3 linked regions of the Caenorhabditis elegans genome follow. The protein of the gene in region 2 interacts with the protein of the main gene of each other region in a pairwise test. Each region holds a gene or a part of one and is shown on either strand. Other genes may lie near its edges.

Evidence for each region. The genes of interacting proteins can lie anywhere in the genome.
Region 1: the proteins of ceh-51 (region 2) and mab-3 interact in a two-hybrid assay, tested with the Caenorhabditis elegans proteins (one large-scale study listed by BioGRID).
Region 3: the proteins of ceh-51 (region 2) and ham-2 interact in a two-hybrid assay, tested with the Caenorhabditis elegans proteins (one large-scale study listed by BioGRID).

Annotation. Positions count from the first base shown.
Region 1 is NC_003280.10:9,729,927-9,738,484, reverse strand, and holds mab-3 (Protein male abnormal 3), read right to left. Parts: upstream 6,255-8,558; 5' UTR 6,183-6,254; intron 5,074-6,182; 5' UTR 5,064-5,073; coding exon 4,921-5,063; intron 3,475-4,920; exon of another isoform or gene 3,474-3,474; coding exon 3,395-3,473; intron 2,717-3,394; coding exon 2,570-2,716; intron 2,201-2,569; coding exon 2,029-2,200; intron 1,524-2,028; coding exon 1,192-1,523; 3' UTR 450-1,191; downstream 1-449. UniProt on the Caenorhabditis elegans protein: Transcription factor which binds the DNA motif 5'-[CGA][TCA][TA]ACAATGT[AT][TGA]C-3', probably as a monomer.
Region 2 is NC_003283.11:18,871,978-18,876,924, reverse strand, and holds ceh-51 (Homeobox protein ceh-51), read right to left. Parts: upstream 2,793-4,947; coding exon 2,539-2,792; intron 1,469-2,538; coding exon 1,018-1,468; 3' UTR 943-1,017; downstream 1-942. Other genes in the region: emb-4 (Intron-binding protein aquarius), read left to right, coding at 3,959-4,299. UniProt on the Caenorhabditis elegans protein: Required for mesoderm development, including specification of muscle and coelomocyte precursors.
Region 3 is NC_003284.9:4,552,310-4,560,162, reverse strand, and holds ham-2 (Zinc finger protein ham-2), read right to left. Parts: upstream 5,479-7,853; 5' UTR 5,470-5,478; coding exon 5,310-5,469; intron 4,665-5,309; exon of another isoform or gene 4,521-4,664; intron 4,231-4,520; exon of another isoform or gene 3,789-4,230; intron 3,421-3,788; exon of another isoform or gene 3,282-3,420; intron 3,052-3,281; coding exon 2,878-3,051; intron 2,830-2,877; coding exon 2,558-2,829; intron 2,508-2,557; coding exon 2,325-2,507; intron 2,233-2,324; coding exon 2,089-2,232; intron 1,598-2,088; coding exon 1,352-1,597; 3' UTR 755-1,351; downstream 1-754. UniProt on the Caenorhabditis elegans protein: Probable transcription factor that acts downstream of egl-15, to promote migration of the HSN motor neurons from the tail to the gonad primordium during HSN cell differentiation.

The sequences.
Region 1 (8,558 bases), on a different chromosome or scaffold from region 2:
AATGAGACAGAAATGGATGGAAATTACGGACATTTTAAAATTTTAGACAACAAATACGGTACCGGGTCTTGACACGATCAATTTTTCAGAGGACAAAAGAGTGTGCGCCTTTAAGGAGTACTGTATTCGCAAACTTTTCGGTGTTGAGCGGTATAGCTTTTTTTTCGTTGTTAAATTTTTTAAATAAATAAATACATTTTTATTGGGAGAACTGAAAATAAAACTTTTTAAAAACTCAGAAGCAACGAAAGTTTAAATTTAAAAAAAATATGTTTTCTGAAACAGGAGAAATTGGGAAATACCCTATGGTACGGTAACGGAAAAGTTTCATTCGTGCTAAGACCTTGTCTATGGGTTTCTACATGGCCGCGGAAGAGAAAGCTCGGCCGCCAACTTTTTTTCTGGAAATTGCTGTACGATCAAGTTTGCATACAGAACCAAGACGATTTAAAAATGAAAAGTTTATTGAAAAATCAAAAATAATAAAAATAAATCAATAATTATTAGACTCGATGCGTCGTGTGTTTGTATGTTTGGAAGTTCTATACATTTTTCTCTCCAAAAAATGTTTGGTTTTTTAAAACCAAAACATTAAAAAACATGATTTCACTTTTTTTCAAAATTATTACCACCGGGGGTGTCTAAAACGGACCGGTTAACTGTTTAGGATTTGATCCTATTTTCCGAGATAAAACAAAGAGAGAGGGAACGAGAATGAGAGACGCAGAGCGAGAAACAATACAGTAATCCTGGGAAAGTGTGGGCGGAGCTCAGCTCAATTTGGGCGGGGACAGTGGGAAATCGATGCAAACGGAAGAATATCGGTGAAATTTGGGAATTTTCGAAGAAATTGATGACATGATTAGGTGGCGAAGAGACATAGAAAGATAGTATGTGGTTTGGTGAGAGACGAAAAGATTATTTGAATTTAAAAAAAATGGGGATTTTTGGAATAACACAAGCGGTCTTGAAGACGAGAAAAAAATCGGTAAATTGGTTGGTTCACTTGGTGAAAAATGAATGAAAAAATTAGAAAATATAACAAAATTGGTAAAAAGTGAAAATTCAAGAAAATATGAAAAAATCATTGAGTTTGAAACCAAAGATAAAAAGAGATTGTGTGGAAAATTAAGCAAAGAAGGGAAACATACAATTTTTCTAAAAATCAATAATTGGTCAAAATTATAGATCTTAGGCTTGCAGACCATAATTTTTCAGATACATACTCCAGAACTCATTCAAAATTGCTGCCGATGAGACAGAACCTGCAGAAATGCCTGGAAGGAGTGGAGCCTGTTGTCCGATTGATGGAGCCATATTTTGAATAATGCTCATCAGGAACTGTTGTTGTTGCAAGCTTATCAATTGTTGATTCATTGGGATCGGCGGATAGATTGGAATCGGAGCAGCCAGCGTCAGAGTGTATTGAGCCAGAAGTGGAGATGGAGAGCATGGTGGAGACATTGAAAGGGATGGGGACATTGTATCAGTGGTTGAGGATGGAGATGGACTTGCTGATGTTCCTGGAATATTATAGATTTAATTTCTTTGAAGCTACAATATAAATTTTAACTGTCTGCGTTGATATTTGCATCAAAATTACCACTTTTTTGTCTTCCCCTGAATTTTGAAAATACATTGGCTTAAGTGGTAATTATCTTTAAGGCAAAGTAACTTTCAGGGCAGGGCCCGCCTGATAGGTAAGCAGAAAGACATATTCTATAACTGAGAAGTTGTACCAATTTGAGATTCTAGACATATTTGAAATTAACCTCTTAACTTTCGTAATTGTTTATTGATGCGTTTGGATATTCCCGTATTTGATTGTTTCGGTACGAAAAATTGGAAATAACAAGTAGCCATTTTATATAATCTATGAGTTGATGGTAAAATCTATGTTTCTGATAACGTTAATACGTACCGTCAACTCTAGAATTACTTCCGACTGGATTTCAGGTTTAGACTCCAATTTTTGTGATTCTGACTTAAAGCTCAATTTACACACTTCTACAAAATCCCATAGCTTACCAATTATCTTTTGACCATCTGTAGCTGTGACAACCATCATCTCCATATCCATATCTTTCGATTTTCTACGAGAGTTCCTTTTTGGTTCTTTACCATCTCGGGATTTCTGTTGTGATCTGCGTAATTTGATTTGAGCCGCCATAAGATTTCGACGGTGTTCCACAAGAGTACACTGAAAAATAATATTTTTAAACTCGAAAATCGTAGTTCTGTTTACGCGTTTTCAAAAATCTCACACAAATTAATGTGGCAACTTTCTCTGTCAGTCCAAGAGCATGCTCCAAGTTGCCTGCTCCACAACAATTTTTAAAAAGTCAATTCGTAGCACTGTTGCATTAAAAATACTTCGAAATAGTTGAAACTTATCAAAATGTTTCAAAAAGTCACATTCTCAAATCTCATTGGCAAGCCACTCCCCCATTTCCCTACAGTACTTTTATAATCCTATAATTTCTTCGCGCAGGTGACATTGAAAAGCATAAAAACTGCAATGTTGTCAAGGGCGCCTGACTGCCGATGATGACAGTATAATTACACTTACCAATGTACACTCGCATGTCACAAATTGGCACATTGTCCGCTTGTGTCCCCGCAATGGGACTAGGACTCCGTGAGCCGAGCACCGAGCACAGTGTGGGTCACGGACACGCTTCCCATCACGGGTTTGAGTTGCCGGTGTGCAGTGGATCTGGAAATTTGGAAAGGTTTATAAGGGGTCCCGCTAAAAAGTGTTTTATTTTCACAGTAATATTATAGGAGTTAATGCAATCACAAAAACAATAACCAAGAAATTCGGTATAAACTTTCAGTAGGCTCAAGAATGCTTGCAGTCAATGCAGCCTACAATTGCCTCATACCTACACGCATACCCATGGTCCAAAGTGAGCATTTTTCTCATTTAAAAATACACTTTCAACAAATAACTGAAATAAAACAATAAGGTAGGTACGCCTATAGATGGCCAGGCAATGACCTATATGTGACTTGCCACAACAAGAGCCCCTTTTGAAAAAGAACAACTTCATGAAAAATATACCTACCCTTAAAAAAATCCGATAAAATCAATCTTTTTCTCACTTTTTCTTTGCTTTTCACACTCTATCTATTCGTATCTTCAATTGTTTTTCTTACAAAAAGAGAAAAAAGCCAAGACGTCAACCCACTTTTCATTTTGAAAATGTCAGATTTGATCTGAAGTTGCGATTTTTTGGTGAACTGATAAGATGTGGTATTTAAGTGCGTGAGAACGCACATACAACCTTCAAGACCGCCTACACCGCGAAACAGAAATGTAGGCAGACAGGAATGAGGTAAGGCACAGCCACCTACAGCCACACCTACCATAGAATCCCTATAGAATACTCACCTTCTTTTTGCTTAGCAAATTGTTCAACTGTCTTCGCTGCTCGACCATCGTGCATTCTCGACATGGACATTTTAGATATCTGTAAAATGTTCGTCTTGTTTATTTTTCAGTGCCACTTGGTGTCATCGACGGGAGAATTTTGTAGTTGTACAGTAACCCGCCCACCCATTCAAATATTTTATTAGACTTTTCACAATAGAGATAGGCCCTATCTTTTGTTAAAAATTATATGAACTGAAAAAATTGGGAGAAAAAAAAAATTGGGTGAGGAATTTTACGACTGTATAGGTCATTGTGGAATGGTTTGTTTGAAAAGTGAGTGTATCTGTGTGATTGGATGTCAAAAAATGAATGAAGATTTTTGAATGAAAAGCAAACATAATTTTTTAATAATTTTCGGTTCCAAAAAAAATAATAAAAAAGGCTGAAAAATTTTTAGTTGCTTGAATTGTCTCAAACTGATCCCAAACAACCAAAATTCATGATGTAACTTCCCAAACATATCTCGAAAAAAAAGAAGCGCTTTTTTGAATTTATCTAAACATTGGAAAAAATGATCGACCGAAGAAGAAGCTGGCAGAATTTCACTAGTTTTTTTTTTAATTTTTAACCGGATAGATATTATTTTTGTAAAGCCTAATAATGAAATTCGGTCGTTTCGGGCGAGTTTTGGATATTTAAACCAGAGAAGTACAAATTCTTTAAACGAGCGTTTAAAAAAACCTAAAAAGAGTAACACACCTTGATATACATATTATTAAATGTGTAGTAGCGAAATCAGGGAATTAAAAAAATTTCACATAGGTATTCAAAAAACTCTTGTAGTCATTTTAAAATGTTTCCCAGATTTCGCTAATCCATCTTCAATTTAGCTTAGTGATAATTGTCGTCATTGCAAGATCTTTTTGAGTCATCTTTCACCTTGGTGAAACATCTACAGTATCCCTAGACCACCTTCAAAATGGTTTAGGTTAATGTATAAAACATAACTTTTTGCCTCTTTGCATTTTCCCATTCTTCTCCTCCGTTTTTCGCGTCCATATAATAATTCGTTTTTGACCCCCCTCACTCATATAATAACAATTTCACCTGTATGGGTGGTATTTTTCGCTTTAAATCGACAAGGTCAGCTGTTTTTTCTTGCTTTGCGTCTTTTCTTGCCCGATCGTAATCGGTAGACGAACATCTCAAATTTTACGGGTGTCTTTGTCGGAGGGCTTCGCGAAAAAAAAAACTGATGGTGGGTGAATAAGGTCGGTGACGCGACAATTTTGAGATAAAATTTGGAATTTGGAGTATTTATGGATAAACTACATACTTTTTCGGCACAACAAAAGTTACAAAAAGTTCATTAAACAGTTGTTAACTTTTTATCGTTGCAAGACCCAAAATTATCAAAAAATTCAAGAGTTTAAGCATTAAAACGTGATGTATATAATTAAGGGTGAATGAGGGAGAAACATGGAATGACAAAATAGTTTTCAGATGAAATGTAGTTTAAAAATGCAAAAAAAACCATTGCTCACCTACAATCCGGCTTGTGACCTTTCCTTGGCTTCAACTCCCCATGATTTAAACATCTCTGACAATAATAATTTTTTTCTTGCTCGGCGAGCTCATCGACTGCTTTCGCCTCACAAATCTCCGATACGGGATCCTCGGTGAGCATTAGAGCTCCTCTGCAAAATTTTTTCAGATTATGAATTTAGTTGTTTTTGTTGAAATTTTTATTTTTAATTAGGGAATTAAAAAGAGGGATCTATAAGCATTATATGAAACTGCTATACTCTAATCTTGACTTATAAAATAATTACGAAATTTTGAAAATGTCGTGGAAAAGTCAAATTTTCAAGACTGATTTTTGTGAGAAAGAACATTTTTTCGCCAAAAATATTGTTCTTTGCATCGGAACAAATTTTCAATTTTTTAAAGGAGCAGCTGGTAATGCGAATTTTTTTTGTAATACTGTATCTTTTCTAGTTTCCAGTGTATATCTTTCGGATTAAAAAAATTTTCAAAGTAAAGTAAAAAAATTTTCTTTTCCTATAATGTTAAGAATTTTGAGAATTTAAAACAGAAAATTTAGAGAGCTTTGAAACCAGTTTTTTTTTCTTCAAAAATTACAGATAGCTCAAACATATATAAAATACGTTTTTATAATCTAAATGTTCAATTCAACGTTGGGCTCATTCTGTGACTTTAAATGTGGAATAAAGTTGGGCTACTGTATGTTTTTAAACCTGCAATAGTTAAAAATGTTAAAAACCAGTTTGAAATTTTTTCTTATAAAGAATTTTTCAGAACGGATATACATGGAATTTCAATATTTAATGGCAACAAAGTTTTATTAATTTACAGAACCGTATTGCTTATTTGACTTGAAGGAAAAAAAGAGCAAATAAATTTCTAAATAAAATACGTTTGAAGTTTTTCAAACCTAACTGCAAACTTTATAAAATCACAAAAATCGATTAATTGCAACTGGCAACATTTGATCGTGTTACAAAAGGTTCAATTTTTAATCAATTAGAGGTTTTTATCAAGAAATAATTTTTTGTAGAGACTAAAACCAAGACAAACAGACAAGTCAGGAGCTACAGTATTTCTACAATGTACATCAGATCAAATGTTCAAGTTTTTGTTAAGCCATTTTCTCAAAAATTTCAAAGAGTAGACTGTTAGGAAAGTCAGCCACAAATTGTAGACGCAAAGATGGAAACATTTTCACATAATTTTACTGTTTTCAAAAACCCCAAAAAATTATTCTGAATCGACTGGAAGCACCTACCCAAAAGTACAATTTCCTCCAACAAGGGGTCAAGATCGAGCTCCTAGAGCACCGATAGCATTCAAATATCGAAAAGAAAAGGAAAAGAGGGAGTAATAGGCACTCCCCTCCTGTGAAACGGGGCGGGTCCCAGCAAGAAAGAGTCGCGGCGACGAAGCGCCGCCTCTTTTTTGGCGACTGATGCCACCCGCGATTGGATAGAAGACCTCACACGACGATAATTAGAGAACGCCGAACGTGAGAAAACCTGGTAAGAGACGCCAGACAAACATATATCGGGAGGGAGCGGCGCCCCGAGACTATGGCGGTGGAGGGGGACACCGCTATCAGTTCTCGCGACGACATATTTTTTCTCTGGCTGACACTCCGCGAATCGTGTGATCTCTGCGTTTTTTGGGGACACCTGTAAGTACGTGTGATCATGGAAAGAGAAGAGACGAGAGAAAATTGCAAACTTTTAGTTTTTTATTTTATTTCCTGTAACTCAATTTTTATAGGTTTTGTTCGAACTTTTATTATCATTCGTTGGGTAGGCTTTTCTAGACTTTTCTGTATTTTAGAAAACTATTAAACATTCCTGGAATGTGACCTACCTTGCTTTAAAGGAAATTGAAACTATGTCTAGAATTATGGATCCACAAGTTGGAACCTTGGAGCCTATATAGAAAGCTTAATTATATTTTTTTTTCGAGGAAAAATACAATTCTTGAGCTTTTTTTCAGTCCATAGGGCCAAGATCCCGGCACCGGGCTGTAGAAAAAATTAGGACTGGAAATTCATAACTGCTCCCATGTGACCTAATTAATATTCATAAGCTAAGTACTTTCTTTCAGCTTTTACTAGCTTTTTTCATTTCTTCATTTGAATCTTAACCCCCCAACCCAACCACAATTTTTTTTCTGAACACCCGCGTCACCAGTTTCAGATTGATTACATATCTAAGCCTACAGTAATCCAATATTTCTCAATTTCGCCTAATGAGCACCTTCAGGTCTTGTGTTCAGTTAGCAGAGAGAGAATGAAAATTGGCAGTTTCAACGCACACATTTGATCTCGACTGTGTCCTCGAAATGGAAAGGAGAAGAAGCGGTAGAAACAAAGTGGGATTGACAAGAAAATTACAGAGGAAACATTTTTGGTAAAGGTTGATTTGGACCTGAAAATATATTAGGAATGTTTTCGAGAGAAGCTACCAAAAACTTTGAAAAGTAATAGTTTTGTTGAAAACTGTCTTACCAACTGTCAAAGTTCTAGTGACTCACTATTTAGTCAAACCGTTTTTCAATTACCAAGATTTGAAGTTTCAGTCAAAAATTATTGACCTGCAATGGATAACAATTTTCAATATGACTTTTAAAGTTTCAGTAATTTAAATTTCTCAAATTTTCCCGAACCAAAGATATTTCCAGTTCCACTTTATAAATGTCGTTAAAAAATTTTAGGTTTGAGAACCAACTTTCTAAAGGAATTGCTGATAAATTTTGACTAAATTCTTGTTTTCAAATGTTGCCGAATGGACTGTATTTACTCTGAACATTCTCTGTACTCCAAAGAGATCACCACATCGAGTCTAGACAGTCTCAACTCGCTCACTACCCGCCCCGCTGATTGTTTCGCTCGTAGGAAAAAAACGGCTGAAGTGTGAGAGTGAACGAACATTCCGTCGTGTTTATCTTGTTGAAATAGTGCAGGTTTCTGTGAGATCTAGACCACCCATCTTTTAAATACTGGTGGTCGATCGAAGCGAAATAAGAGAACGATTTGTTGCGTAAGTGGAGCCTATTTCGAGGGTTTGCTCTTTTCGATTAAAAAAATCATTGCCTGTCGTTTTACACAGCAGACAAAAAATCAGATATTGGCTAGCATTTGATAGTATAGAAATTACGGTAGTGATTTTCAGAAATTTCAAAAAAAAATTTGAACATTTTTTCTGATAACTTCTAGCCTCCACCCAATTTTTTCATTCATTCAAAATCCCAAGCGCTTGCAAGATCAAATCCTTGAAATTTAAAACTCTTCCCTCGAGACAACCTCCGTACAAAAAGGTCTCATAAATCGGGAGGTCCGGGCGTCCAAATTCAAACGTCCTTTTATCTTCTCCGACCTCGCGCCGGGCGTCCGTCTTCAGGCCACCCATTAGAAAAATTGGGGCGGCCCAATAAAAAACGGCTGTTGTTATTCGCTTTTTCCAATCGTAGTTCTTCGCAATTTTCCGTGTCTGCGTCTCTTCGTCTCGCACACTATTTCGTCGACTCCCTTGACGGATATTCAGAGTGTTGCATTGCAAAAAAGTGCTGCTTTGCCTGATGCTGCGCCACACAAAATGAATGGCTTTTCGCAACAATGAGAAGAGGTTCGAAAAAAAAACGACTGTGG
Region 2 (4,947 bases):
ATTATATTAATACCAATCGGAGGAGGACCAGAAGCATGTTATTTCTTGATTTGTGTAGCTTTTTGTCACTTGTATTATTGTGTGCCCAATAAACGATGTTCGATTGAATTGAAAAAAAAACCGCGAAATTTGAATTTTCAGTGTTTTTGAACCTTTTAGAACATCAAAATTAGTAGAAATTCCACAACTTCAAAATTTTTGTCTCAAATTTACAACTCTCCGAGCATGTGTATTATAGGTGGTGTAGTCGAATTTTTTTATTGCTTCATTAGACTCAAAATTGTCTGAAAACGCCGAATTTCATAATAAAACTTCCTGAAAACTTCTTTAAAAAAAGTTATGACGGCTCAAAAAATGGCCTATAATTCGTTAAAATTTGAATTTGACCGACTTGTCAATGCCGCAGCGACTGGAAACATTTTTTTTTGAAATCATCGTTAAATTTTGAGTTTACAGCATGATTATCTTGAGTTTTCAACTCCATTTAGGTATTTTAAAATCGATGGACGAAGAGATTTTTAAATTTTTAAAACCAAATCTCGCCGTAGTCCATGGACTTTAAAATACCTAAATGAAGTTGAAAACGCAAGATAATTACATTGTATACTCAAAATTTGACGGTGATTTCAAAAAAAAAATTGCCTTCAGCCGTTACGACATTGACAAGTCGTCGGTCAAATTTGAAATTTTAACGAATTTTTGGCCATTTTTTGAGCCGTCATAATTTTTTTTTGAGAAGTTTTCAAAAAAGTTTCATTATGAAATTCTGTGTTTTCAGACAATTTTGAGTCTAATGAAGCAATAAAAAAAATCGACTACACCGCCTATAATACACATGCTCGGAGAGTTGTAAATTTGAGACAAAAATTTTGAAGTTGTGGAATTTCTACTAATTTTGATGTTCTAAAAGGTTCAAAAACACTGAAAATTCAAATTTCGCGGTTTTTTTTCTTCAATTCAATCGAACATCGTTTATTGGGGGCACACAATAATACAAGTGACAAAAAGCTACACAAATCAAGAAATAACATGCTTCTGGTCCTCCTCCGCCTCCTCCTTCGCCGATTTCTGTTGCTGCACAGCGTCCTGCTTGATCTGCTTGTATTTCTCCTTTCTCAACTTGAATCTCCGATTCTGAAACCAAATCTTGATCTGCTCGGGCGAAAGTCCGATGACTGCTCCCAACTTCCGTCGCTCGTCAACCTTTATTGTGTCGCACTGCTCAAATCTGGTTCTCAACGCGTAAAGCTGAGAATCGGAGAACGGAGTTCGAGCGCCTCTCCGCTTTTCTGAAGGAGCTCTTGGATGCTGCTGATGCTGATGATGTAGAAAAGACGGCGGTGGTGGGATGAAGCCAGCGTGATGAGCCACCATAGGATGAGGAAACGAGGATGGGGAGAGTTGTGAGTACTGCTGCTGGAACCAGGCGAAGCATTGAGCTTGGTAGGCTTGAGCATGGGCTTGAACTCTGTAAAAAAAAAGGAATTTTCGGAAGAAAAGCGATCACGGAGATGAATTTTGTTGCAAATAAGCAGTGATCAAATTTTCCAAATAGGGATTTTTGCCGCTGTAAATTTAACATGCCAAAAAGAAGCTACCAAATTTGCCCAATTTGTGGCAATTGGACTTCTTGGAGCTGTTAATTTCAAAAAAAGCAGCTACCAAAATTGCCTAAATTTGGAATTTTGGCCACTGCTAATTGCGAAGAAGAAGCTTCGAAAATTGTTCAAAATTGAAATTTTTGAAAACAGTTAATTGCAAAAAAAGTAGCAAACAAAATTTCCTGAATTGGATTGTTAAGAGCTCTTAATTGCATAGAAGCAGCTACGAAAATAGTTCAGAATGGACTTTTCGACACTGCTAATTGCAGGAAAACAGCTACCAAAATTGCATAAATTTGGAATTTTTGGAGCTTTTAATTGCAAAAAAGCAGCTACCGAAATAGTTCAAATTGGAATTTTCGACATTGCTAGTTGCAATAAATCTACCAAATTTGCCCAATTTGTGCAAATTGGACTTCTTGGAGCTGTTAATTGCAAAAAAAGCAGCTGCTACCAAAATTGCCTAAATTTGGAATTTTGGCCACTGTTAATTGCAAAAAAGCAGCTACCAAATTTGCCCAATTTGTGCAAATTGGACTTTTCGACACTGTTAATTGCAAAATTGCAGCTACCAAAATAGTTCAAATTGGAATTTTTAGAGCTGTTAATTGCAACAAAGCAGCTAACAAAGTTTTTTTTTGCTAAAAATGCCCGTTCGCGGCCATATAGTGTGAAAAAGCTATATTTTGAGTAATTTCCCACTGTCAAAACTTATGGGGTTATTCAAGAAATGTTACTTGCAAAATGTATTTAAATACATGTTTTTAAATGTATTTTAATACAGTTGTGACGTAATTTTTCTACACTTTTTAATTTTCCGACGCTAATTGAATAACCCCATTAAAATTAGCGGTTCTTCACGCATTTCGGTAGAAAAACGTAGTGAAAATCACTCTAAAACGCCCGTTTTGTACTGAAAAGTATCGAAAAAACTTACAACATATCATTCCCATTATGAGCCAGCTGTTGTTGATAGTAAAGCTGATTGGGATCCGCCACGTAGCACGGTGATGGAGCCTGATAGGCCGCCGGATAGGCTGGCGATGAGCTCATTGAGCCCGGAGAGCTGCTTGGCATTGTGGAATATTCCATTACAGTAGCATTAGTAATAGCAGAAGTTGAATTAAGATTCGAAGAAGACAAAGGATAATAGTCACCGCCGTTATTAATATTATAGTTGGATGATGACATTTTGTGTGGAATGAATTGGGGGAATTATAGTGGCTATTCTCCAGCTGGGGAGGCTGTAAATCTAGGCGGAGCATTGCTGCCTAGGTAGGCGGGGAGGCGAGAAGGTGCGATTTTGTTTGGCGGGAGACATGACCGGGAAAAGGTGACACCGGAGAGGTGAGATACCTGGGAATTGGGTGAGATTTTCCGGCTGTTCTTCAGAATTGTCTGAAAATCTGGAAAAATGTGAAGTTTTTCCACGGAAAAGCGAATTTTCGATTGATTCTTGTAGTTTTTCGTACAAATCGGACAATGCCAAAATTTGGCAGTTTTGGTACTTTGTGTTGGATTACGGTAGAAATTTTGGTCTGAAAAGCTTATTTTTAAGCCAATTTCAGTCAAAAACTGCAGTTCCGGCAATTCGGCAAAAACTTGCCGGAATTAAAAATTTCCGGCAAATTTGCAAGTTGCCGGAATTGAAAATTTCTGGCAAATCGACAAATTGCTGGAATTTGAAATTTCCTGCAAACCGGCGGAATTAAAAATTTCTGGCAAATCGGCAAACTGGCAAACTGCCGGAATTGAAAATTTCTGGCAAAATGGGCGATTTGCCGGAATTGAAAATTTCCGGCAAATCGGCAAATTGGCGGAATTGAAAATTTCCGGCAAATTGTCGGAACTGAAAATTTCTGGCAAAATGGGCAATTTGCCGGAATTGAAAATTTCCTGCAAACCGGCAAAAATTTGCCGGAATTTAAAATTTCTGGCAAATTGCCGGAACTGAAAATTTCCTTCAAACCGGCACATTGCCGGAATTGAACATTTCCGGCAAACGGGTAAAAACTTGCCGGAATTCGCCGAATTTTCCGAACAACAATTGCCCGCCTACTTAAAACTTTTAAAAAAGCAAAAAAGAAAAAAACAACTGACATAAAAATTATCTGATCAATAAGATATTGGAAAAAATGTTGAAAATTGCAAAAAAATATATCGAATCTAGGCATATAGTGCTCCCTAAACTACAACCTACAACAAATTTCAAATAAAATATACAAAATTTTGCAAAAAAAAGAAAAAATATAATTAAAATTCAAATTTCGAAATGTTAAATTTGAAAATTTTAGAGTTTTTCGACGAAATTACAACAAAAACACTCTGAAAATTATAAAAATCCTGGATTTTTTCAGGTGAAAGAGGCAAAAATCATCGCAATGACTTGTACACACGCGGCTCTCCGTCGAAATGAGCTCGTGAAGCTCGGCTTCCGCTACGATAATATCGTAATGGAAGAAGCCGCTCAAATTCTTGAAGTTGAAACATTTATCCCATTGTTACTACAAAATCCACAAGACGGACACAATCGACTGAAACGATGGATTATGATTGGAGATCATCATCAGCTGCCGCCAGTTGTACAGAATCAGGCATTCCAGAAATATTCGAATATGGAACAATCGTTATTTGCGAGATTAGTCAGGCTTAGTGTACCAAATGTGCAGTTGGATCGACAGGGAAGAGCCAGGGCTCAGTGCGTGTTTTTTTTTGGGGAATTCTTGAGAAATTCTACGTGAAAATTAAGAATTTTACGGTTGAATTTACCGAAAAACGATTTTTCGTGCGAAATTGGCAAATTTTCATATGAAAATTGCAACTTTTCACAAGAAAAATTTGGCATTTGAGCTCAATTTGCTGAAATTCAGATTTTTTTCGGAAAATTGGCGAATTTCTAAGTGAAAATTGAGATTTTAAATATAAATTTACCGAAAGTCGATTTTTTGTGCGAAATTGGCAAATTTTCATATGAAATTTGCACCTTTTCACAAGAAAATTTGACATTTGAGCTGAATTTGCTGAAATTTGGATTTTTCCTATAAAAATTCCGAATTTCCAATTCAAAATTTATATTATTCATATAAGTTTCATGAAAATCAGATTTTTTTTCCCGAAAAATTGCGAATTTCTACATGGAAATTGAAATTTTCATTTTGAATTTCCCGAAAAACGAAATTTGTGTGAAAATTGCGAATTTTCATACGAAATTTGCACATTTTTACAGGAAAATTGAAATTTAAGCCGAATTTGCTAAAAATCGGATTTTTCAGAAAGAAAGTTATAGCAATTGCGAATTTCCACATCAAAATTGGTATAAATTTACTGAAAATCGGATTTTTGTACG
Region 3 (7,853 bases), on a different chromosome or scaffold from region 2:
GGTAGGAAAAACGTTTCTAGCTGACTTCCAAAATTAGGGGTACCACTTTTTGGATGCACATTAAAAATTTCTACAATTTTTAAAAAGTATTGCAATATCTGAATTTTTACATCCTTAAAATGGAGTACCAGATATAGGAAATTTCAATATATCGCAACATTCTAACCTGTGTGAATTGACTTGCAGCAGCTGGTGATACAAAAATACTAAATGTTCAAAACATAAAATGGACAAGGGAGAGTCACAAAAAATTATCTAAATATTAATTCATTTTCGAGAAATATTTTAAGCATCTATTCTGCAATAACATAGATTTGACTATTTTTGGAGTTTTATATGGTTTTAGAATACTTTAAATACACTCCTGAGAAATTTTGAATAACAATTGAAGCCAAACACAAGTTCGTAAGTATTTCATCTAGCAATTTTTCGTTTTGATGTAAGAAAACGAAAGCTGCAAAAAGGGAATCAACTAGTACGAAATTTCTTGAAGCTGAAGTTTTAGACAATCGACTGAGTACATCAGGAAGAAATCAGAAATGAATCATGCTCAACCTTTCACTATGCTGATTGTGACGTCTAGTGGGTCGAAAAGGTAAAAATGAATTTTCACATCGCTTCACCTGAAAGCACATTACCCTCTGAAACGGGTTCAGTTTTGCATTCAAACAAAATGATGTTTTATGCGAGGATAACATCATCTTGTGAGAGTTTCGTTTTTGCTAGTTTTTTGTATGGCTTATTACTTCCTGCATTTTGAACTTTGAAAATTATTTATCACAAATATAATGAAATGAAATCATTGAGGGAAGGAAAAAGTCAAGGCGGGAAAAAAGGGTAATGCTATAAAAGTCAAGAAAAGGACCAGAAGAAATAAAAAAGGAAACATTTAGAACAATGAAGTAATGTAAAGGACGTTCTAGGTAAATCGCTGAGTGCATTTAAGGCTACGTTTTATTGAAGCTATTGCAACAAAAAAGTAAAGTAGATTCGGATTGTTTGGAAAATGTCCACCAGTTTCTAAGATTGCGGTAAATACAATTGTCAGGAATGAGAGCACTCTGATTTTTTTTGGAAGTTTGAAATATTTGGATGCAAAGATAAGAAGTAGCTACGAGAATAGGCATTATGTACAAAGATATAAACGACAATTAGTTTAAAAGCCAACCAAAACCGCTTTAAAAGCTGTTGGTTCTTTGATTCAGAGTATTTCGGAAATTGCTCAAAGGATTGTTGTATTTCAATGGCTCAAAATGCTGATTAGAAACAAGGAATGAAAATGACTACGTGGTTCAACTAGATTTGATGACACCATCAAAATCGGAAATAAAGAAATTGAAATCGTTTGGATCTAGGGAACCACTGAGGGACGGTTCATGTGAATCAAATTGTTCAACAACATTCTCATCGCAGGATTTTGAAATAGATTGTTCGGCCCTGGAGATGGCATAGGCATCATCGGAGGAGGCAGCATCACGGGTGGCATCGGATTCGGTTGAATTTTGCGGAGGAAATCCACTTGAACTTGCAACTCTCTAATGGTCTTTTCATAGGCACGACATTTGTCCTCAACTGCAACAAGCTTCCCTCTGGCTACCTGAAACATCATAAACTTATGTAAATTATTAAAAATATCAGTGGGTGGGGGATAACTCAGTCGGTAGTGGTGGCCGCTGAAGAACTACAGGTCACGAGTTTTTACAGTGCGCGCGCTTCTTGTAGGACACCCCTAAATTTGTGAAGCATTGGAATACATACAATTCTTCAGGAAAATTTTTTGTGATATTTGGAATCGAGTGTGTCAAAAAACCTCGAATCCGTTTTCATAAATTTATCATCACAATTGAAAGCACCCGTTTTGCTATAGGACCCTGAGATTTTAACCAGCTGAAACCTAGCGTGAACTTGAAAGTGGAGCAGTCCATGACTGGATTATCAAACTTAACCTAAAGACTAATCATATCACCAGAAGTACTGTACCTAATTCCCAGATTCTCTTCACATAGCGCTCGCAAAATGGATGGTTTTTTATTTTTTTTTTTCATATTTTAAATTATAATTCAAAACCATTTAAGACAACTTCCTAACCTGACAATCAAAGCATTTCAAACTTTCGCCCGAATGACTAGACGATCCACCACTGATGTGAGAATCCGAAACCGTTGGAGAAGGCTGATCATGGGAAATGTGGATGTTTTTGTCATCAATCGTCATTTTCAATGGTGGTTCGCCCTGAAAATTTTGAAAGTTTCATAATATGACATATTAAAGTTTAATGGGGTGAAAAACAAATTTTCCTCAAAATTTCAATAAGTTTTCCTTACATCATCGCCTTCCACATCAATATCAGCATCGTGTTCCAGTTCTCTTTTGAAAGTTGGTTCAGTCTTGACAATGACTGACCGAGGGCTGACATCACTGCTTTCCACTTCAAATTTGATGTCTTCTTCAGTTGTCTGCACTTCTAAGTCGTCATAATCGCTAATATTAGAAGACTGGATGGAATCCTTAAAATGTAATACATTTGAATTCAAAACATCAAAGAGTTGTAACGTACTTTGGACGGTGTTTGTTGCGCTGCCAGATTAAGGGCCGCCGTGTTGATGGGATTGTTGGCAAGCCACGCTGAGAGGAACTGTGAAGGACCCATGTTAGAAAGATCCAGGGGGAACATCGATTTGGAGTCGGGGCTTTTGAGCAGTGTCGGGAAAATGGATCCAATGTTGTTATTGTTTGCAGCAACTTGTAACATACGCTTTTGCATCAACAAATCAGGCGAGAAGGGTGGAGACTGACGCGGGGAGCCCGACTCGGATGTGCTATCTACAACTGCAAATTTGTATTAATGGATTTCAAAATTTGTGGGTAGATCTTTACCATCTGAACTCTTAGCTAAAACAGCCGCTTCCCCCGGTGTCCCATTTTTCAGCATACTCTGCATATGGATGTGAAGACTTGTTTTGTCGGGAAAAGCCCAATTGCAACACCGACACATAAACATTCGGGTAATGTTGTGTACTCGATACATGTGACTGCGTAGTGTATCGTTGCCTGCAAAATTGTTTCTTAAGGTTTCCTAATGACTGAACAGTGAGAGCAGTGCCGGCTCATTTCGCACTCATTTTATTATGGTAATTATCAAATACTATTTGAACCCTTCTCCAGCTTTTGAATTCATGTCTCAATGATCTAAATATTTGTCGAAAGTAACATGTAAATGGCTATTTGCCAACCCCAACTGCATTGCTATTTCCATATTCCACTTAATTGCCATTCTTTGTGCCACCGAGCCTAACTGTCTATCAATCAAATGAAATTCGCAACATTGGGACACTATACGCGCGCCCGTAAAGGCATGTTAGGTGCCAATGTGACGAATGTTCTACGACGACCCCCCTCATTTGCATGTTTGTCTGAATTTGAAAATACGCACTATAGAAAATCTATAGAATAGCGGATCTTGCCTACCGACAAAGCAGTAACACAAAAAAAAACGACAAACGCAGGGGTCAGGCTGTAAAACATTTTCATGTTATGTTTCGGTATTCTACTGGTTGATCCGCTTATTGTTGGATTGCGCACGAGTAATATAACAAATCCTGTTGATCTGCCTGCTAACATGCCGCCGTATGGATTCCACGTATAGGCGAGCGGTGAAGTAAGGTGTGAAAAAAGCTGGGTGCTTTGGCCGAAAGTTTCTTGAACGACCCCCATGCTCAGCGAACCGTAACAAATGATTGACGGCGAGTGAACAACCAATAAATTGTAATGTTGGAAAGGTGGTAGAAAAAGAAGAGGTTGCAATTTTTGTTGCGGAAGATGGGGAAAGAAGACAATCGGTGGTTTTTTTTTTACTTTGCCCGCGCGCTGGCCCTATTCTTCGCTCTCAAGCTCACTTAGCGACAGTGGCGTGCCAACAATTAGCTGATGGATGGTCATCAAATGACTGACCTTGGAGGTTCATCCTACCTTCCATTCCAAGAAAAGAAACCATTAAGTAATACATACATACCGTCGGTTATTTATGCCTCTCGCTCTCTTAGGAAGCCGCTCGGGATGGAAAGATGGGGCAATTAGACAATGCAAATAGCAGACGTGTTATTGTAAAACTGTGGCGTAATATGGTCAGAGGTGTCTTTTCAAAAGATTCTTGCACAAATATTAGAGTCAATTTGTTATTATTTAATACATGATACTGCTTTCCATTATAGCTGGAGACGCTCCAGTGGGAAATTGAAAAAAAATAACGCCGAATTTGCCAAACGACGCTACAAAAATTTTTTGAAATTTTTAATTTTGTTTTTAAAATTGGTAATTACTTTTTTGAAAGTCGTCGATAAACAGTCGCCTACATATTTTTCAAATATAAATATTCAAACATTGTAGAGATCCGAACATGCGGCATTGCTATAGTTTTCTCGAAAAGTGGCAAGAACACAGTTATTGCCACTTTTTGACTGTCAATAATGTTGGTCATTTTGGCTCTATATAAGTGGATGTTAACCATTTCCCCACTGGCACTACTCCACCTTTAAACTTTTTGCTACTAGTCCAAAAGTGCACATGGTTGTTTTAAAAGCTTAACAGATATTACTAAATAGATACTCCTAATTGACAGTCGGAGCTATCTCGGTATTTGCACACCTCCTCATTCAGTTTGCCATGCCATATAGATGTCTACAATTAAGAATACAGTAGTAGTTGGAAAGGGTGTCAATATTTAGATAACCAATGTAATTTTTTGGCGGAAAGAAGGAGACTGTATCAACCTTGTTTGACACATGCCCAATATAGCCACGTGCTAATCGGAGGGTGTGAGTTGAGTTTAAGCTTGTCAGTAAACAATGCCACTGAGCTTTCGCGCATTTCAGATTATGGAGACTTCCGATCAAATAAATGTATTGGGAGGGAGATTAGAAAAATGTAGAAATGCAATAAACTGGTAGAAGACAGAAACTAAATGCAGCAGGAAATAGAACATTCGTTCAGAATTTTAATTCAATTTTGAAAAAATAAATTAGAAAGTTAAACATCACCTAGAACCCATAATTTTTTATTTTTAGATTTTTAGATCAATTTTAAATTTTCAATAGAATAAGTTCCGTACAATTCAACAATAGCTATGTTCTCGAGTTAAGTTTCCCTCTCTTTTTTCTTATTATCATATGATAAAACATGATACAAAACTGTGAAAACATCAATAGCGGCATAAATTGTTTCGCTCTTTCTCCCCTATTGTTAGTCAAGCTCCTGCTACTCTGATTCATCTATTTCTCTTTTTTTTCTCAAACTTGCATTTTCAAACTTACTTGGAATTTCGTTGTTGCAAGTGGTACAGGTGTAGCTTTTAAAGTGAGCCTGCATCCGGTGACGACTCAGAGACGAACTGTGGCAGAATACTTTTTGGCAAATCGAGCAGGGAAATGAGCCTTTCAAATCGGGACGTTTTAGCTCTGCACGATAGGGCATTGTCTAAAAATGTTTTTGTTATTTGATGAAGCTTTTAGAAAATGGTGCTGAAATTTTCACAAAATCGAATTTGAAAGGAAACACTAACAAGGAAGAAGAAAAAAACGGTGGACAGTTTGAATGAAAGAGCGCTCATAGATGAACAAGTAGGATGGGCTACCAAGACCTCCACTACTTGAAAAGTTTTGCGTACAACACTCGAAAAGGTATTCAGACGCAGCTCTTCTCTCCGGAGACAAGAAGGTCGTCGCCGGCTGACACCAACCAGGTATTTACACCCTCACTTGATACTGTTTAAAAGTAGCGAAAAAGCATACATAGCAGCGATTGGACAATGCATTACAGTAGCTCAAGTATGGCGGGGAAGGTAAGAGTGCTCGAGAGGAGGAAGTGAGAAAATAACAGAACATTCAAAATCGAAATTTGTCACACGGCTTCTGCAATCTTAAAATGAATACTACAGTAATCCGGTGACCTGTGCTCTTGGACTAACAAAATGGCAAGCAGTAGTGCAAGAACGAGCTGAAGGCTATGACTCCCCCCGCCTACCCGATTTTTGGAGGCGGGGCATACCATGCAGAATAGAGATAGTGAGCGACGGGACGCACGGGGTGAGGGGAATGGCATCAAGCACAGTCGGGATAGTAAGTGGCAACAATTTTGGCTAGCAATTGCGAGTTGATTAGCTTTCTCAATTTTGAAAAAAAAAAGTTGGAAGCGAGTCTTAGATAGAAGCACGATGCTCTTAGGAACAGATGTGGGCAAGCTGTTCAAGCTTTTTTTTAGTATAGAACACAAGCGAATAACAGTTGGGAAACTTCTACCAAACACGGCTGACCCAAAAAAAAATAGAATGACGCGAGGGATACACCAAAAAAGCCCTCAAACCATAGACAGCATGATTGCTTGAGTTGAGGATTGCGCGCATCTTCGATTCTCGTGTTCTTTTTTCTTATTGGACGACCACAACAAAACCAGTTTTGTAAAATTGATTCGGGTTGCGCAATGCTAGAATAAACTATCCAACATCGCTATTATATTCGAATTTTTGTCTCTCTCTCGCTCCCGCTCCCCCTCTCTTCTGACTGCCATTCGACCCCATAATCACACAATGCTTTGAGGCCGGTTTTCTCGATCCGCATCAACAAGTTCAACTATCTCTATTCAATGTGCTATTTTAATTGGGCACACACTACCAAAATTTTGAAAATGTTGAGTATGACTGTTGAGTTTCTATCTATCTGTATTATTTTTTTGGGCCTACACACGCCGCAGCAACTACAGTAATTGTAGAGCGGTGACGGATAAGAGTGTGAATCTTACCCCGTTGAGATTCTCGGCACGAACAGGGATTGGCCTTGGCCGTGTGTCCAGGCGCTCGTATAATAAGGATTCACCTCCTCCCGCGTACAGGTCGCGTTCCTTTTCTTGACGGCTACATAATCAGTAGCTATCATAGCACATCTTGCCTTTTCCCGCCAAATGTCTATCTGGTATATATCTCCGAGAGAAAAGAAACAAGAGGCGAGTAAGGTAATGGAGATATAGCGAATGGATAAGAAAACTGTTCCATATACTACATCAAAAGACAGACAGGTGAACGCAAAGTGACAAGAGGTCTAGGTGGGCAAGTAGGAGGAACATATGAGAAAAAAGGGAAATGGAAATGAACATTTTTTAGAAGTTTTCAATTTTAGCAGGACTAACAGGTATTGGAAAGAATGTTTGAAGAACCTAGGAACATACTTTTATGGTCCACATATTTGCATCAATTAGACATTCAAATAGAGAATGCTCCTATTCATATATGTATTAGCATATTACAATTGTTGCGATTTTTAGTTTTTGGACTTAGTGAAATGGTTCAAAACCACGCCTTTTGTGCTAAAACGTCTAAGTATCATAATGAAACTTTTGCAATATTTAATAATATTTAGAGTCGAAAAGCGGAGAAAACTGAGTTTGCATGTTTGAACCTCTAAAATGTTGAAGTATGCATATTTTGAACACAATTTTAAACAAAAAAAGCTTATTAAAATTTTTTTTGTGAGTGAGTTCAGACTCAGAATAAAAATGTTTCCAAATTTTTTTTTAAAGCTTGATTATTTTTGCGCCATTGTTTTTAATAATTTTCCACTGGCCGTAGTTCAACTTTTATCAAAACCTCTGAAAGACTTCTTATACCATAGTAAATTGAAAAGTTACGTAATGACGAGAAGGAACGACGAGCCAGCAGCTACTTGAATGATTTTTTTTTAGGTCAAACGGCAAGCTAATCGTTCTAATCGTTTTTGCGGACAGGGCAGGCGCGACGAAATGCAAGGCGGTTACGTAAGAACTGCGAGATAGAAAAAGGGAAGAGTCTTACAGGGGCGGCCCCAATC